Linked DNA regions of Callithrix jacchus. The protein of the gene in region 2 interacts with the protein of the main gene of each other region in a pairwise test. Links are inferred from orthologs where the notes say so. Each region holds a gene or a part of one and is shown on either strand. Other genes may lie near its edges. The genes, in order: BMF, BCL2L2, KASH5 and FATE1.

Region 1 (4,021 bases), about 11 Mb from region 2:
GGTTGGGTCCCTGGCTCCCCATCCTCTGGCTGGAACACATCATCCTCCAGCTCCTCCACACACTGAGATGGCTCCATCTCCCCTGTAAGAGGGCAACGCAGACATCTGGGATGCTGCCCCACCAGGGCCACACATATAAGGACTCCCCTTCCCTTCTTTCTTCTCTGTTCCCCCTTCTTATTTGAGGGGACCGGGCCACATACTGATGACACACAATCCTAGTAATAAAGCACTGCCAAGGGTGACACCCACTCCCAAAATTTGAACTGCCTCAGTGTTCAGGGGCCCTCCACACCTCTTCCTTGGTCCCGCCTGGAACCACTGTTTTTCCTGATCCTGTTTCTGACCTAGGCCAGTCACAAAGTTTGACTCGGGGTTGTGAGCAATAACAGGAGTACAATCAACAGCTATAGGCATGCAGGGTACCTGGGAAAATATAAACAAGACTAGCCTCTGTAAGTTGCTGTCAAGGGTGCTGTGACTGGCTATATATACAATGCTCACAACACACACACACACATACAAACACACACAAAGTCATTGCCCCAAGGAAACTCTTATCTCAGTCTGAGCTTAGCTCCAGACTCAGCAGCAGAAACAAAAGCCCGCAGTCCTAGGGCAATCAGGTTCCCTCCAAACCCCTAAGCCCCGCCCTGCTGCCCATCTACTCTAATCTCCACCCCTTGCTTGCACAACACAACAAACAGGCTCTGCAGTGTGGTAAGAGTATGTCCTGGGAGAAGGGATAAAAACCCAAGTTAGTCATCGCAGGTGCCGTCTCGCCTCTCTTTGAGCAGAGTTGAGCTATCTGCCCACCAAAGCTTGGCCTGGAAGGTAGGTCCAGCCTCTCCCAGCTAAGTCTCCTCACTAGTCTCCAAGACTTCAAATCCTTGTCTCCACAGCCTCCCACTCCTGCCAGCTCAGAACCTGAGACCTGAGATTGGCGTAATTGGTCTTACAGAAGGAAGTGAAATTCACCCCTCTCCCTGTGACCTCACTGTCTCTACTACTCAGGTTATTGATGAGAGTTTCTTGGTAATAAAGAAGTACCTCTTACTCCACCTGATGGCTCTTGGAAGTCTGAGCTTGGAGCTACCCAGCATCTTAAGCTTCCAACCTAGCTCCCTGCACACACCAGGAACCCCTTAAGATCCCTGCAGCAGTCAGAAGCAGCAACCACCTGAACAGCTAAGGATAAAAAGAGATGAATTTCATCTTTGTCAGACTCAATTAGAGATTCCTGGGTGTTCTGTTCCCCAGTCTCTTCCCTTTGAATAACAAGCCAAAAGGTCTGTAAGTTGATGAAGTTGCTAAAACAATTTCAGTTCAATTCAGAACCCTGCCTTTGCCAAATGCAGGCTCTCTGTGAGATGCTTGCTCCGGGCCCGGCTTCATCCCATCCCATCCCAGTCCCTGAGCTGTCTATGGTCCTGTCTCTACCATCATCCCTGGAGAGTGAGGATATGCCTGCTAGGATGGCAAGCAGCCATGTGGTGTTCTTTGGACAGTGTTTCCCAAGTGGTGTGTGTGTGGGGGGGTGCACTCCAGCTTATTAGCGACAGGAAACAGCATTTCCTGATGAAAGGACCAAGTGCTGTCCTGCCAGTCACCTGGCAGGGGCTCCCCTCCAGCCCTCCAATCTCTTCTTAGAAGGGGCCCTCAAAGCCAATCACAAGCACAAGTCATTGTCTTGGTTTTTCCTTTGAAGCCTATCACCTTCCCCTCCCCCTCCCAGCAAAGCCCCAAAGTTCAAGGCTTGCACAGACTGGACAGTGGGGTAAGTGCAGCCAGAAGGCGTGGCTCTGCAAGCCCCAGGGACCCCTTCACTCTCCACAAACTGCCGGTAGCTTGCCTGTAGGTGGACACCTCTGGAGTGGTGCTTGGCAAGGTCAAGGGTAAACTAAGAAAAGGTGAAGAAATCCTTTCCTCCCTTTTCTCCTGAGCTTAAGAGGTGATATCAAGAGTAGGGGGAGGAGGGCACTTCCTGAGAACAGTGCCAGGGAATGCTTTACTCCTAGCAAAGGAACTAAAGACCCGCTGTAGCCATCCCAGCCCCTAAGGGATCGAAGAGGGATGCTGAACTTAGACTCCTCCTCCTCTTAGGAGAATGCAGTAGCCAAACAGCCCGAGCTTACACACACACACACACAGCCACCCACCCACCCACCCAGACCTGGGTGACTCCAGGAGAGGGTCTCGGCCTCCGAGTCGTGATGCCAGGGCTCCGCGCCAGGGTCCAGCGTGACGAGCACTCGGGGGCTTGATGCCCAGACTCGATTGGGAAGGAGGGAAAAAGCCCAGCTGTTAAGGAGAGGAGCCTTCAGACTCCGCAGAAAGGCAAGATGCCCCACAACTCCTGTCCTACCCCAAAGTCAGACCCAGAGGCTGGGCCGCTCTCGGGCACCCAGGTCTGCTCAGCAGTGCACCCAGGTTCCTCCGCCCACCTGGACCCAACTCCTTCGAGTCCCAAATGCTAGCCCCAAGTTCCCTCTTGGAGCGGCACACCCAGCTGTGGGTTCTGCACCTCGGTCCCTCACCCCAGGGCCCCAGTTCTTCATGGTCACCCCAGACGTCCGCAGCCCAAACCCTTCCAGGGCCCCTATGCGCAGCGCGACTCCTCTCCCTACTTCCCCAAGGAGCTGCGATCCAACTCCGCCCGGCCCCCCGGCCGCCACCCGGGCTCTCACCGGGCTGCGGCGGGAGGCGGGAGGCGCAGGCAAAGGGCGGCGGCGGCAGCGGACGCGGGCCGGGGCGGGAGGAGGCCACTCCGCACCGTGCGGTATTGTTTCCAAAATACGCCCGCTCGGGGCATCCCGCAAACAGCTGATGAGGCCCCGCCCCTCTTCGCGTCACGCCGAGGACTGGCCAATGGCGAGTGAAGCGCCAAGTCCCGGGCTGGGCAGCTGCCAGGGACGGTCACGAATGTACGAACCTTCCCAGGGAAACATTGCAAGGGACCGAGCAAAATTCCGATCCTCACCAGAAGCGCAGTTAGAGCGCCGTCTCCCTCACGGATTCTGTCCCTAACACAGGCTCTGGAAGCGCCAGAGAGTCCCTGAATCCTATCAGGTGTGGGAGAGGGGGCGCCAAAGTAACTTTTGTCTTCTTTTTCACGGGAATGGACAGAATAATTGCTGCGCGATCAGAAAGGGTGGGGGGAAGGAGACAGGGAGTTTTTTTTATGAGGCTGGCGCGTCCAGTGGGGGCAGGGTACAGGGTGCCTATGGGATCCCAGCCTCGGGGGAAAGCTCCCTCCAGCCTGCCGAGCTGGTCTGAAGAAAACTGCAGCCCCAAAGCTGAAGGTGTGTTTGAAACAAACACATTCAGAGGAGCCCTCAGGTCCTCTTCTTGCCTGGGCGTGGGCACTGGCAAAATAAACATCTGGATGAGAAGAGGAGCGCAAGAAGGCAAGGGCTGCTTGAGCGGTTGATACATATCGCTATGGCAGCATTTAGAGACTGTGCTGGTGCTCCCAGAAGAGCAGCGTGTCCTGCAGACCGCACAAGGGAGTCTATGGGCTACTTCACAAACATTTACTGAGCACCTACTCTGTGCCAGATACTGGGCTAAGTGCGAGAAACCTGGAGTCTGTCCTCAAGGAGCTTACAGTCTTCTAGGAGAGGTAGCCCTGAAAATAGTGAAAAGCCATAGGGATGGTGTTCATTCCAAGGATAATGACTCTTGAGGAGTGCAGAAAAATTCAGAATATAAAGGTTAGGGAAGGCTTCAGGAAGATGGCTTTTAAATTGAATGGGAAATATTTTTCAATAAGGAAAACCAGATGCGAATGGCTCACGCCTGTAATCCCAGCACTTTGAGAGGCCGGGGCGGGCTGATCATTTGAACTCAGCAGTTGGAGACCAGCCTGGCCAACACGGCGAAACCCTGTCTGTCTACTAAAAAATACAAAAGTTAGCCAGGCTTGGTGGTGCATGCCTGTAATCCCAGCTACTTGGGAGGCTGAGGCAGGAGAATTGCTTGAACCCAGGAGGCGAAGGTTGCAGTGGGACAAGATGGCACC
Region 2 (4,177 bases):
GTCACCCAGTCTGGAGTGCAATGGCATGACCTCAGCTGACTGCCACCTCTGCCTCCTGGGTTCAAGTGATTCTTGTGCCTCAGCCTCCTGAGCAGCTGGGATTACAGGTGTGCACCACCACACCTGGCTAATTTTTGTATTTTTAATAGAGATGGGGTTTTGCCATGTTGGTCAGGCTGGAATGGAACTCATGGCCTCAAGTGATCTGCCTGCCTCAGCCTCCCAAAGTGTTGGGATTATAGGAATGAGCCACCAAACCCAGCTAGTTGTTACTATTATTGCTGCAGAAAAGACCTTGCTTCTCTAGTGACCATAAGGGCAGTTGGTAATACCAAGGCTTGGATTGGAGGTAGAAGCAAAGGGAACTAGCAGAAAAAGAGAATTGGATCTCCTCTTTCTGGCCTTTGTTTGGGGTGATGTTTAAATGGAGGAAATGCCAGATCCAAGAGCCCAGGGGGCTGGCTGTGAGTGCCCTCATGTGGATCAGCTGTGGTTAGACTGCTTAACGCCTTGTGGTCTGCCCCATATAAATATACTGCCATGTATAAATAATGGCCGAATATATGTGTAATCTGGAAAGATAAACATCAAGTTTAACACTGGCAACCTGCAGGGAGGGAAGTGGAATGGTGTGTGTGTGTGTGTGTGTGTGTGTGAGTGAACCTGCATTTTATTACTCCGTACCTCTTTATTTGATTTTTTTTTCCATGAGAAGTAGTTCATGTGTTAGGTAAAAAATAAAATAAAATAAAGTAAAATAAATCTATTACAAAAGAATATGAAGAATTAAAGAAAAGGACCAGCAGAAACCGCTTGTGATCCAAGTCCTGGCTCCCTGATGCCTGGCTGAAGCCCAGCCCACAAGCAGAACACTGGGTTAAAGGTCGTGGAGAAAAGAGGATGGGAAAGGTTTGGTGTCTGTGTGGTGTCTGCTAGTCCCAGAAGGGTAAGGCACCTGGCAGGCGGTTTTCAGCTTAATGGGAACTGCTCCTGTTTTCCAGGCACACACAATCCAGGGCTGGAGAAGTTCAACAAGTGCATGGAACATCGGAAACCTCCTGGAAATGCTGAATTTGCCTCGAGATGTCCTGAAGTCCAGCATACTTCTCTGGGCAGCCTCGAGGCTCAGGAACCCAGCCCAGCCCAGCTTACTGTGCCCTCTCAGCCAGTCCTTCTTAGCCTTCAGCAGCCCTCCCTCTTCCTGAGTAGTGGCCCTTCGCAGGCCTGCGTCCCAGCCCCGCCCCTCTCTCTGGACGCATCTCTGGGCCCCATCATCACCCGGCGCCGGGCCCTCCCTCTGCCCCCCCTTTCTCCTCCCTCCTTCCCTCCCTCCTTTCCTCCCTCTCTCCCTCCCTCCCAGCTCCTGCACCAGGAAACGGCCCGGATCCCGGCAGCGGCCTGACCCGTGAGATCCCTAACCTGGCAGGCGGGCGGGGTTGAAGACTGGCTGAGGTGGGGGTAAGGGAGGAGCTGGGCCTTTGGGCTGCACTAGGGGGAACCGGGAATAGAGATGGTGTCGGCAGGAAGCCCTTCGCCCTGGGTTTCCCAGGAGGACAGTCATTAAACATGGATTCGGCCACACAGCTAGTAGAACGTTGGGGGCAGGGGCCCAGGCCCAGAGCTGCAACCCCAGCCCTCCCAGGCCAGACCCTGATCCCTGGCCTTCCCCTCCTGGTTCTGATCTCCCCCTCCCCTTTTCAGGGCTCCACGCTGGCTGGGAGGATGAAAGGCCCCAGCTGGGGGCTCCTTGCCACCAGCGCTGTGTCTTAAGAGCTGCCATCCCGGCTGGGTGAGTGTCTCCTTCCTTTCTCTGTCTGGAGGAACCCATTGCGTCTCCCACCTTTCTCTTCAGCCCATCTGCTCCCCTTCATCTTGTGCCTCTGCCAACATCTTTACATCTTGCATTTGGGGAGGTCCTAAGCCCCTTCCTCTGGCCAAGAAGGTGTGGACTGAGCAGGGGGAGGTGTGTAGGGGTGTCACAGAGCTGACGTTGTCTTATTATGAAAAGAATCTAAAGTGTTCTAAACAAAATTTACTTGTTTTGCATTTAATTTTGCATATTAGGATGTAATGGCCAGCCTATCGAACCCTGGTCCCGCATCATAACTTAATTCCCTTGTTCTTGCCTCTCCCTGTCTAGTGAGCTCTGAGCATTTCCTCCATCCTCCCCATCTCACTGGGTTGGGCAAACCAGAAATTCTCCTTCTGGTTCTCTGTCCATATATTAATGCCAGTCTTTCATCCTTGCCTCTTATAGCTGCCCGGATGGCGACCCCAGCCTCCGCCCCAGACACACGGGCTCTGGTGGCAGACTTTGTAGGTTATAAGCTGAGGCAGAAAGGTTATGTCTGTGGAACTGGCCCCGGGGAGGGCCCAGCAGCTGACCCGCTGCACCAAGCAATGCGGGCAGCTGGAGATGAATTCGAGACCCGCTTCCGGCGCACCTTCTCTGATCTGGCGGCTCAGCTGCATGTGACCCCAGGTTCAGCCCAACAACGCTTCACCCAGGTCTCCGATGAACTTTTCCAAGGGGGTCCCAACTGGGGCCGCCTTGTAGCCTTCTTTGTCTTTGGGGCTGCACTGTGTGCTGAGAGTGTCAACAAGGAGATGGAACCACTGGTGGGACAAGTGCAGGAGTGGATGGTGGCCTACCTGGAGACGCGGCTGGCCGACTGGATCCACAGCAGTGGGGGCTGGGTAAGAAGCTTCTCAATTGCCGCTCTGCACATCCCTCTGCAAAGCTGGTCTCCAGGGGGAAGATGGGGGCTCTGATTGGAGGCTGAGGCAGCTATGTTGGGAATGAGGTATGGGGCTGAGGCTCCCCGTCTGGGTGGAATCAGACTGAGAGATGCCTGGGCTCTGCACTCCAGGGCTGCCATGCAGTCAACACTGGATGGGCTCATGGTCCCAAGCAGAGGGCAGAATATGCACCCAAGGAGTGCCTGCAGGGGAATGGTGTCAGGGACTTTTTGCATCTGAGTCATGGCATGGGAGGTGGGGAGGATCAGGGATGGGGGGTGGTCAGGCAATCCTTGGCAAAGGATGCTAGTTCTGAGCAGAATTTTTCGCCAAGGAAAGGATGGAATTCACTGGAGACAGAGTGGGCAAATGAACCAGTCTCTCAGGGTGGGGGTATGCCTGGGGGGATCAGAGGGGCTTGTAGTAGAGCCTTGACTAGAGAGGAGCTGGGAATGGGGTAGTGCTCGCAGTGAATGGAACTGGAACTCTTCCTCTCCTCTTCTCTCCACTCTTTCCTCTCCTGATATCCCTTTCTCCTTCTTTCTCTCCTACTTCCCTTCTCTCCCACAGGCGGAGTTCACAGCTCTATACGGGGACGGGGCCCTGGAGGAGGCGCGGCGTCTGCGGGAGGGGAACTGGGCATCAGTGAGGACAGTGCTGACAGGGGCCGTGGCACTGGGGGCCCTGGTAACTGTAGGGGCCTTTTTTGCTAGCAAGTGAAAGTCCAGGGCCAGGTGGGGCTAGGTGTGGCTGGGGGTCTGGAGAGCAGGAACAGAACAGAGAAATGCCCTTGGAAGAAGTGGAGTTGGTGGATGGGTGGGCATGGAACAGGGATGGGCAGGGGAAGGGTAGTGTGTAAGGGAGCTGAGTAGGCCAGGTAGGCGATTAGAAGAATGAGCAGGACATAGGGGAGGGGAATGTTTTGGCAAGTTTAGGGGGGCAGGAGATGGAGTCGTTCCAGGGCTGGGGGAGGTGGGAGGGATCATGCCTATAGGTGTGGGCACATGAAACGACCTGGAACTTGGTTTGTAGCCATGAGGAATGTGGACTTGCATAAGCAGTTGTGTTTCCATTGGATGAGTGGAATTTGGGGAACATAGAAGGTACATCCCTTTGGAATGGAAGCTTGAGGGTTCTTGGGCGATAGGGAGAGGTGGCTGTAACCATGGGCTGCTTGGACACACGTGTGCATGTGCACGCATGCTGCTGTGCATGCTGGGCTGCCTGGCAAATCTGGTGGTGGTGGTATTCCCCAAGGAGAAAACATTCCCTCTTGCAATGGCAAGAACTAGGAGCAGTTCTCTGCCCTGCCCCCCACAACCCCTCCTTTCCCTTGCCGTTGTCCTGATGCCTCAAGGCTTAGAGAGAAACATTGTATCCAGACATAGGGCTCTGCTGCTTCTCTCCAGAAAGTAATTGGCAAGGCTTTGGCAAGAAG
Region 3 (2,838 bases), on a different chromosome or scaffold from region 2:
GGGACTCCTCCAGCCACACACAAGGCTGCAGTCGCCATACGGCAGGCCTCATAGACGTGGCTACACCCACGGATTGCATAAATGCACACGCACATTCGCCCACACTCGGAGGAGGTTGGGCTGGCCCTCCCCAGCCAGCCTCAGAATTCCCTGGGGGCACAATGCCCACAGCTCCCCTGCCTGCAGCCACACAGGCTGGCTCCTCTGCTCCTCAGAGTAGCTGTGCCCAGTGGAAGTTAGGATTTTGATTCTCAGGCAAGGAAGGGGAAATAAATTTGGTAAGGAGAGGTGAGGAGCCCTCGGTTCTGAGCTGAGGAATGCAGGAGCTGGGCTGGAGTCTGCCTGTTGTAGGTCAGGCACTGTCAGGGCCCTTGGGGCTCTTCAGGGTCCAAATCAGCCAAGATGGCTGCCTCCAGGATGCTCAGCTCCCAGCAGCCTGGCCCCAAAGTCCACTCCCTTGCCCCAGAGACTGGGGATCCACCTCAGCTTCCTCATCGCTCACATGGGGACAATCTCTTCCTAGCTCCCAGGGTTGGGATGAGGGTTAAGGACCACGTCGTAAAGGGCCTGGGTGCCTGCCTAGCACAACAGGCGTTGGAGGTGAAGATACTGATCATGATTGGTGTTCTGTTTTAATTTATTGATCATCATCCTCATCTTCGTCAGAAAGAAGCAGGGGTGGGAAGGCCAAAGACCTATAAGGGGAGGCCCTTCCAGGGAGACACGAGGGATGAGGCGGTACAGTGGGTTGGGCCTGACCCCTGGAGAAACAGCTGGGACTTTAATCTTTGAATCTTCAGATAAAGTACTAGAATTAATCAGTGAATTCAGCATGGTTGCTGGGTTAAAGGTCAAAATAAAAAATCAGTCATATTTCAGTGTGGCAACAATGAGCAATGAGAAAATTAAATTTATACCATTTATAATAGCATGGGGTTTTTTGTTTGTTTTTTTGAGACAGAACCGTGCTCTGTCGCCAAGCTGGAGTGCAGTGACATCATCTTGGCTCACTGCAACCTCTGCCTCCCTGGTTCAAGTGATTCTCCCACCTCAGCCTCCCAACTAGCTAGGATTACAGGCATGCGCCACCACACCCAGCTAATTTTTGTATTTTCGGTAGAGAAAGGGTTTCACCATGTTGGCCAGGATGGTCTCAATCTCCTGCCCTTGTGATCTGCCCACTTTGGACTCCCAAAGTGTTGGGATTACAGGTGTAAGCCACCATGCCCAGCCTATGATGGGCTGTTTTTAATTAAAGCACCTGCCGATTCTGGCATAGGCAGGAAAACAGGATTCTGCATGAGGTCCAGCACGGGGGTGGGCACCTGTAGAAGATGTGGTCTCTGCCCTTAAAGAGCTTAGATACTTCCAGAATCTGATGGAAAATGGAGGTGATGATATTGAATAGCTCATACAGACATTGAGCACTCACTATGTACCAGGCACTGTCCAAGTCACTGCCTGCCTTTTTCATTCATTTAGTCTCCATGTTAATCCTATGAGGTGGGGACATCCCTGGCTAGCAGATGGGGAAAGAGAGGCACGGAGAGGTGTGGTAACATGCCAAGGGCTCTCAGCCAGAAGCTGGCAGAACTGGGAACCCAACCTGGCAGCATGTCTCAAAGAAGCTCATTCAACTCCTGAGTTCCACTACCTTCTGTGTGGTCACTGTGTCCAGTGGGCTGACCTGAGGGCCTCTCAGTCCAGAACCCAGTGCCTCAAATGCATCTCTTCGTCCTTCCAGGCTGATCTCCCCATCCCTCTAGGAGACTCTCACTCTGGAGACATCGCAGAAAGCCCTCCAAGGAGGTAATAGGACCCATGGGGTCCAGGAGGGAAATTGGAGACAAGGAAAAACCAGTGTTGATTCCCTCCTTTCCCCCAGCAGCCCTGCCCAGCAGGATCTCCGGCAAGCCCTGGTCCCTGTGATGAAGGAGCTGGTCCCAGTCAGGAGGAGGCCCTGGGGCCAGCTCATCCTGCCCCCACAGCGACTCAGGTGTGCCCCCAGGCACCTCCAGAAGGAAGAAGGTGTTCTGACATTGGGAAGACCAGGGGCTGCCTGGACCCTGCCCTAAGCACTCTCCCACCTCCCCACTAGGGTCACTCGGTATCCGATGATCCCAGCTCCAGTCCTGGGCCTGCTGCTGCTGCTGCTGCTCTCTGTCCTGCTGCTGGGCCAGTCCCCACCTCCCACCTTGCCCCACCTCCAGCTCTGTTACCTCCAGCCCCCTCCAGTGTGAGAGGCTCTGCTTGTCCCTCAGAACAGTGTGTAGTTCAATAAATCCCCTGGCGCTCTCTCCGCTCGGATCCCCTATGTTAGGCCAGTGTTGCACGGGCTTATCGCAGAAACCGTACAGGGGGATCCACATCCCTGGACTGGGTTTATGTGAAGGCTCCTAGTTATTTAATGTTGACATTTAACAAAAGCAAAACTTCCCCAGTCACAGATTAAGCACTAAGGACTATTCCTTCACAAAACAAGCCTGGCAAGGGCAGCTGTGGGCACACAGCGAAGTCTCAGCTGCCTTGGGGTCAGGGCCTCAGTGATTCTCCCGTCCCCTCACGCTCAGGAGCTGGCAGTTGTAGCTTCCCACATCACATCTGCAGGGAGACGGAAGCTCGTCCCTTCCTTTTTATAAAGAGAGGCAGTAGCCTCAGTGTGCAGTGGGTAGATTCAGATCATAATCATAATGAAAGAGAAGCAGTCGCCTGCCCAGAGCCACCAGCAGACTTGTGTCTGTCTCACCAGTCAGACTGTTTGGTGTGACCACCACTCTCAACTGTAAGGGAGGCTGGGACCTGGGAGGCCAAGTACCTCTCCAGGGACCAGCTGCCTTG
Region 4 (4,070 bases), on a different chromosome or scaffold from region 2:
TAACCAGCTTTAATTAAACCAGAGGTGATATTCTCCCTAGTCTCGGAGCCTGACCTCCTGGGCAGCTTGATTTGGCTTCTGTCTTTGGACACAGGAAGCCAGATCAACATCTGACCTATTTTTATTCCCAGGAAATCTTTAAACCTGGAAGCCTTTTTTCTCAATCTTCCCTGGGGCCATCCAACAAATCATTTCAGCAATCAAGTCTCCCTCCCTTTCCCAGTAACTTCCAAACTTTTCTGTGGTAACAGTAAAAACCACCATTTTCTAAAATTTTATTAATTTTTCCTCACCAACCTGAATGTGGTGAAAAGCATTGGCTACAGAAAGATGGGATTTGTGATTCCCTAAAGCAGTCAGGTCTCCCTTCTCTCCAAAATAAATGCCTTTTTCAGTATCCTTTGCGACAATGTGGCCAGCATCTTTCTAGAACATTCAACATCCACAGTGAATGTAGCTTAAAGAATTGGCCACAGAACCGTGGGACTCACATTATTTCCTGGAGCAGTCAGTCCTCCCTCCCTCTCCAATCCTGTTGCCTTTTCCCAGCAGCCTTTGCAACAGCATATCAATTTTTCTAAAACTTTCCCTTACCCACAGTGAATGTAGCTAGCTAAAAGGATTGGCTACAGAACTGTGGAACTCACCTAATTCTCCAGAAGAGTCAGAATTCCCTCTCCCTCCAAAATGACTGTTTTTCTCAATATCATTTGCAGCAGTATAGCCACTATTTGTTCTAGAATATTTCTTCACCCATATTGAATGTAGCTTAAAAGCATTGGCTACAAAATTGTCAGATTCACTTCACTGGATTTCTTCCTTTCTTCCTTGCTTCTTCTCTCTCTCTCTCTCTCCCCCACCCCCTTCTTTCTTTTTACAGAGTCTCTCTCTGTTGCCCAGGCTGGAGTGCAGTAGCATGATTTTGGCTCATTGCAACCTCTGCCTCCTGAGTTCAAGCGATTCTCATGCCTCAGCCTCCTGAGTAGCTGGGATTACAGGCATGTGCCACCATGCCCAGCTAATTTTTTTATTTTTAATAGAGATGGGGGTTTCACCATACTGGCCAGACTGGTCTCGAACTCCTGGCCTCAAGTGATCTGCCCATCTCCTCCTCTCAGAGTGCTGGGATTACAGGCATGAGTCACCATGCCAGGCCACTTGACTGGATTTCTTAACAGCCAGAAAGGATAGGAGCCTCACCTGACTTATTGTGTGTATACACACACGTGTACCACACACATAATTTTAAATACAGGAAAGCATTATTTCACGCAATAGATTTACAAAGTAAAGTATTTATTTACTCCCTAAGCAATATTTGTTTCAAGAATTCCGAACTCCCAAGGTTGAACCTCTAGTATAGGAAAGGATGACCGTGACCTTTAACTGGACCTTCCTTTCCTCATTTGCCAGCTCGGAACACAGGAGCTTTCTCTTCCTCCCAAGTCAATGTCTAGCCCTGACTGACCTGGTGAGGCAAGAGCCCCTACAAACAGTACTCCCAATCCCAACCTGGCCACCTTATGCTGAGGACCCCATACAGTACCATTTTCTTGGGCCGGGTGGCAGTCATATTCCAAACTGGTTTGGCTTCAGCAGAGCCTGCAGCTTTTGATTCCACCTTCTGCCTCTTCTGGGGGACACTGAGGGACCGAGATCTATGATCCATCACTTCTAGAGAGAAGAACAGAGGCCTCAGGAGCACCCACAGAAGTTATACCAGGGCTTTTTGGACACGAAACACAGCATAAAAGAAGGCAGAGGCCACAGCCTTCTCGGGAATCACTCAACACCCGTTCAACACTATCCACCAGCTGATCCCAGGCCTCAGTTTGTTCATTTGTTCAAAAGTTAATCAAGCATTTCCTGATGGCTGAGCTCGAGACTAGGTTACTCTCTATTCACTTAGAAAGCAATGATCAAGAACAAGATTCCAGCTCTCAAAGAACTGACCATCTGTTTGTGTATAAGGGGGAATGACAGGTGTACAGCAGAAAGTAATCTATCCTCGCAAATGCAGACAGAGAGACACAGGCTCCATAAACGATCAAAACATGGTAACATAGTAGAAGGAAAGGGCTCCCTCTAAAAAGTAGGAGACAAAAACTGAAGCAGGGACCTGAAAGAAATAAAGGACCCAGCCCTGGGAAATTGAGGGAAAGCACATTCCAGACAGAAGAAACAGCAAATGCAAGGTCTTTGGGGAATAAGCACGCTTGCAGCATTGTAATAACAAACATAAATGCAGTGTGATCTTGGCCCTTTTGTGAGCTATAGAAATGATATTTTCTGTCTATATCATAGCATGAAATGTTTTGAGGAGGCTGATACTATCTTATAGACTGTGGAGTTTGGACTTTCCTCTGAAGGGCAGGGAAATGAATTAGAGCATTGGGAGAGAGAATTGATCTCTGATCTTGTAATTTGAGCTCTCTGAGTATTTTGCAACAGACATGGTGGTGGCTTGGACAAGTGGGAGACAGTAGGAAAAATGCTCCCTTTTCCCTACCTCCCTTATCATCAACCCACAAATCCTCGAAGCTCCCCAACACACACATGTGCAAACACTTCCTTGCACACATGCACCTTTTCCAACACACACATGCACAGGTATAGACACGTATCTACAGAGTTGGCTATAGCCAAGTGGTATTTTAGAGGATCCTCACCTGCTATCCCCAGGTGCTCTTGGTTTTGCCCTTGGCTTCCATGATTCAGTTCTTCAGCCAGGGATATTTCTACCTCCTCCCTGGTGCTGATAGGGCCTCCTGCCATCATAACCAGCTGTTCACTTGTAAGCAATGGCTAAAAATGTGCAGGGTGCCAGAAACAGAGGAGTCACACTCAGAAAATCGCCTCTTCCAGGGACAGGAGCTCAAGGAAGATATAGTAGGACCTGGGGGTGGAGTGACACTCCCTCTCTAGGCTGAGGCCTTGGACTGAGTACCTTCTGTTCCCATTGTATCTAATTGGTTGGGTCCATGGCGTTCTCCCCTGCAACTCTGTAAGCAGCTTAGAAGAGATACAACTCCAAGCTTTTGCCTGTGAGAACTGCTCTGGCTCATGGATCTCCAGATTTAGCTCATGGGGGATCCCATCATCATTTCTAGGCAGATGCAAGGATTGGCACAGGGTCCAAGAGCCACACAGTGGCCACAGCAGAGTTAGGTCCTAGCAATCCAGGCCATACCATGCCTTCAAAAGGGATTCTCTGGAGAGCATATCCTACCTCCCATATCCAGAGTCCCCAAACACAGGAGGCAGCCTTTTTCTGAAGTCGGTCAGCCTAGGCAGGAGCCATGAGAACCAAAGGAGGGAAGGGTGAAAGAGGTGTGACCTGACTGCAGCCACTAGAACCCCAAGGGCCTCAGGCCCTGCACCTTCTAAGTTCCAATTCTCCCTCAGCTTACCTACTGACTAGACCACTGTGATGGTCAGGTTTATGAGTCACCTGGGCCAGGCACTTGCCCCTGGTGATTCCATCAAACACCGTGTAGGTGTTGCTGATGAGGCAATTTGTAGCTGTGATTGGCATCTACAACCAGTGGACTTGAAATAAAGTAGAGACTCATCCTCGATGATGTGGGTGGGTCTCACGCAATCAACTGAGAGGCCTGAAGAGCAAAGACTGAGGTTTCCAGAGAAGAGGCATTTCAACCCCAAGACTGCAGGGTCAACTCTTGCCTGAGTCTCCTGCCTGCCGGCCTGTCCTGTACATTTCAGACTTGTGAGGCCCACAGTCACATAAGCCAATTTCTTAAAATAAATTTCTCTATATTTGTGCATATGTAGATACATACATACATACATACATACATACATACATACATACATATATCCTATCAGCTCTGTTTCTCTGAAAACCCTGATTGCTACAACCACCAATGCTGAACCCTTCATTTAGGAAACAACCCCAGAGCCCCTGGGGTAATAGGAGGCTATTTGTAAAAGGAATCCTTTATAAACCTGTCCTGGTTCCTTTTCCAAATAGCCTCCTCTTCCCCCAGAGTCCCTGGGCCAAGTGGGAGGAAGAGGTGGAAGAAAGGAGGAAAAGAGGGAGGGAGGAAGGG

Evidence for each region.
Region 1: the proteins of BCL2L2 (region 2) and BMF interact in binary tests that used the Homo sapiens proteins (3 or more experiments, as listed by UniProt). The two-hybrid records come from large-scale screens. The link is inferred for Callithrix jacchus from reciprocal best matches to the Homo sapiens genes BCL2L2 and BMF.
Region 3: the proteins of BCL2L2 (region 2) and KASH5 interact in binary tests that used the Homo sapiens proteins (3 or more experiments, as listed by UniProt). The two-hybrid records come from large-scale screens. The link is inferred for Callithrix jacchus from reciprocal best matches to the Homo sapiens genes BCL2L2 and KASH5.
Region 4: the proteins of BCL2L2 (region 2) and FATE1 interact in binary tests that used the Homo sapiens proteins (3 or more experiments, as listed by UniProt). The two-hybrid records come from large-scale screens. The link is inferred for Callithrix jacchus from reciprocal best matches to the Homo sapiens genes BCL2L2 and FATE1.

The regions. Positions count from the first base shown.
Region 1 is NC_133509.1:46,492,401-46,496,421, reverse strand, and holds the start of BMF (bcl-2-modifying factor), read right to left. Parts: upstream 2,826-4,021; 5' UTR 2,813-2,825; coding exon 2,688-2,812; intron 2,302-2,687; coding exon 2,174-2,301; intron 83-2,173; coding exon 1-82. UniProt on the Homo sapiens protein: May play a role in apoptosis. Isoform 1 seems to be the main initiator.
Region 2 is NC_133509.1:57,649,380-57,653,556, forward strand, and holds the start of BCL2L2 (bcl-2-like protein 2), read left to right. Parts: upstream 1-1,349; 5' UTR 1,350-1,452; exon of another isoform or gene 1,453-1,458; intron 1,459-1,701; 5' UTR 1,702-1,789; intron 1,790-2,257; 5' UTR 2,258-2,265; coding exon 2,266-2,697; intron 2,698-3,309; coding exon of another isoform or gene 3,310-3,459; exon of another isoform or gene 3,460-4,177. UniProt on the Homo sapiens protein: Promotes cell survival. Blocks dexamethasone-induced apoptosis. Mediates survival of postmitotic Sertoli cells by suppressing death-promoting activity of BAX.
Region 3 is NC_133523.1:43,178,707-43,181,544, forward strand, and holds the end of KASH5 (protein KASH5), read left to right. Parts: intron 1-1,744; coding exon 1,745-1,809; intron 1,810-1,885; coding exon 1,886-1,996; intron 1,997-2,098; coding exon 2,099-2,240; coding exon of another isoform or gene 2,241-2,281; 3' UTR 2,282-2,298; downstream 2,299-2,838. UniProt on the Homo sapiens protein: As a component of the LINC (LInker of Nucleoskeleton and Cytoskeleton) complex, involved in the connection between the nuclear lamina and the cytoskeleton.
Region 4 is NC_133524.1:148,013,570-148,017,639, reverse strand, and holds the start of FATE1 (fetal and adult testis-expressed transcript protein), read right to left. Parts: upstream 2,861-4,070; 5' UTR 2,779-2,860; coding exon 2,670-2,778; intron 1,675-2,669; coding exon 1,547-1,674; intron 1-1,546. UniProt on the Homo sapiens protein: Involved in the regulation of endoplasmic reticulum (ER)-mitochondria coupling. Negatively regulates the ER-mitochondria distance and Ca(2+) transfer from ER to mitochondria possibly implicating it in the regulation of apoptosis.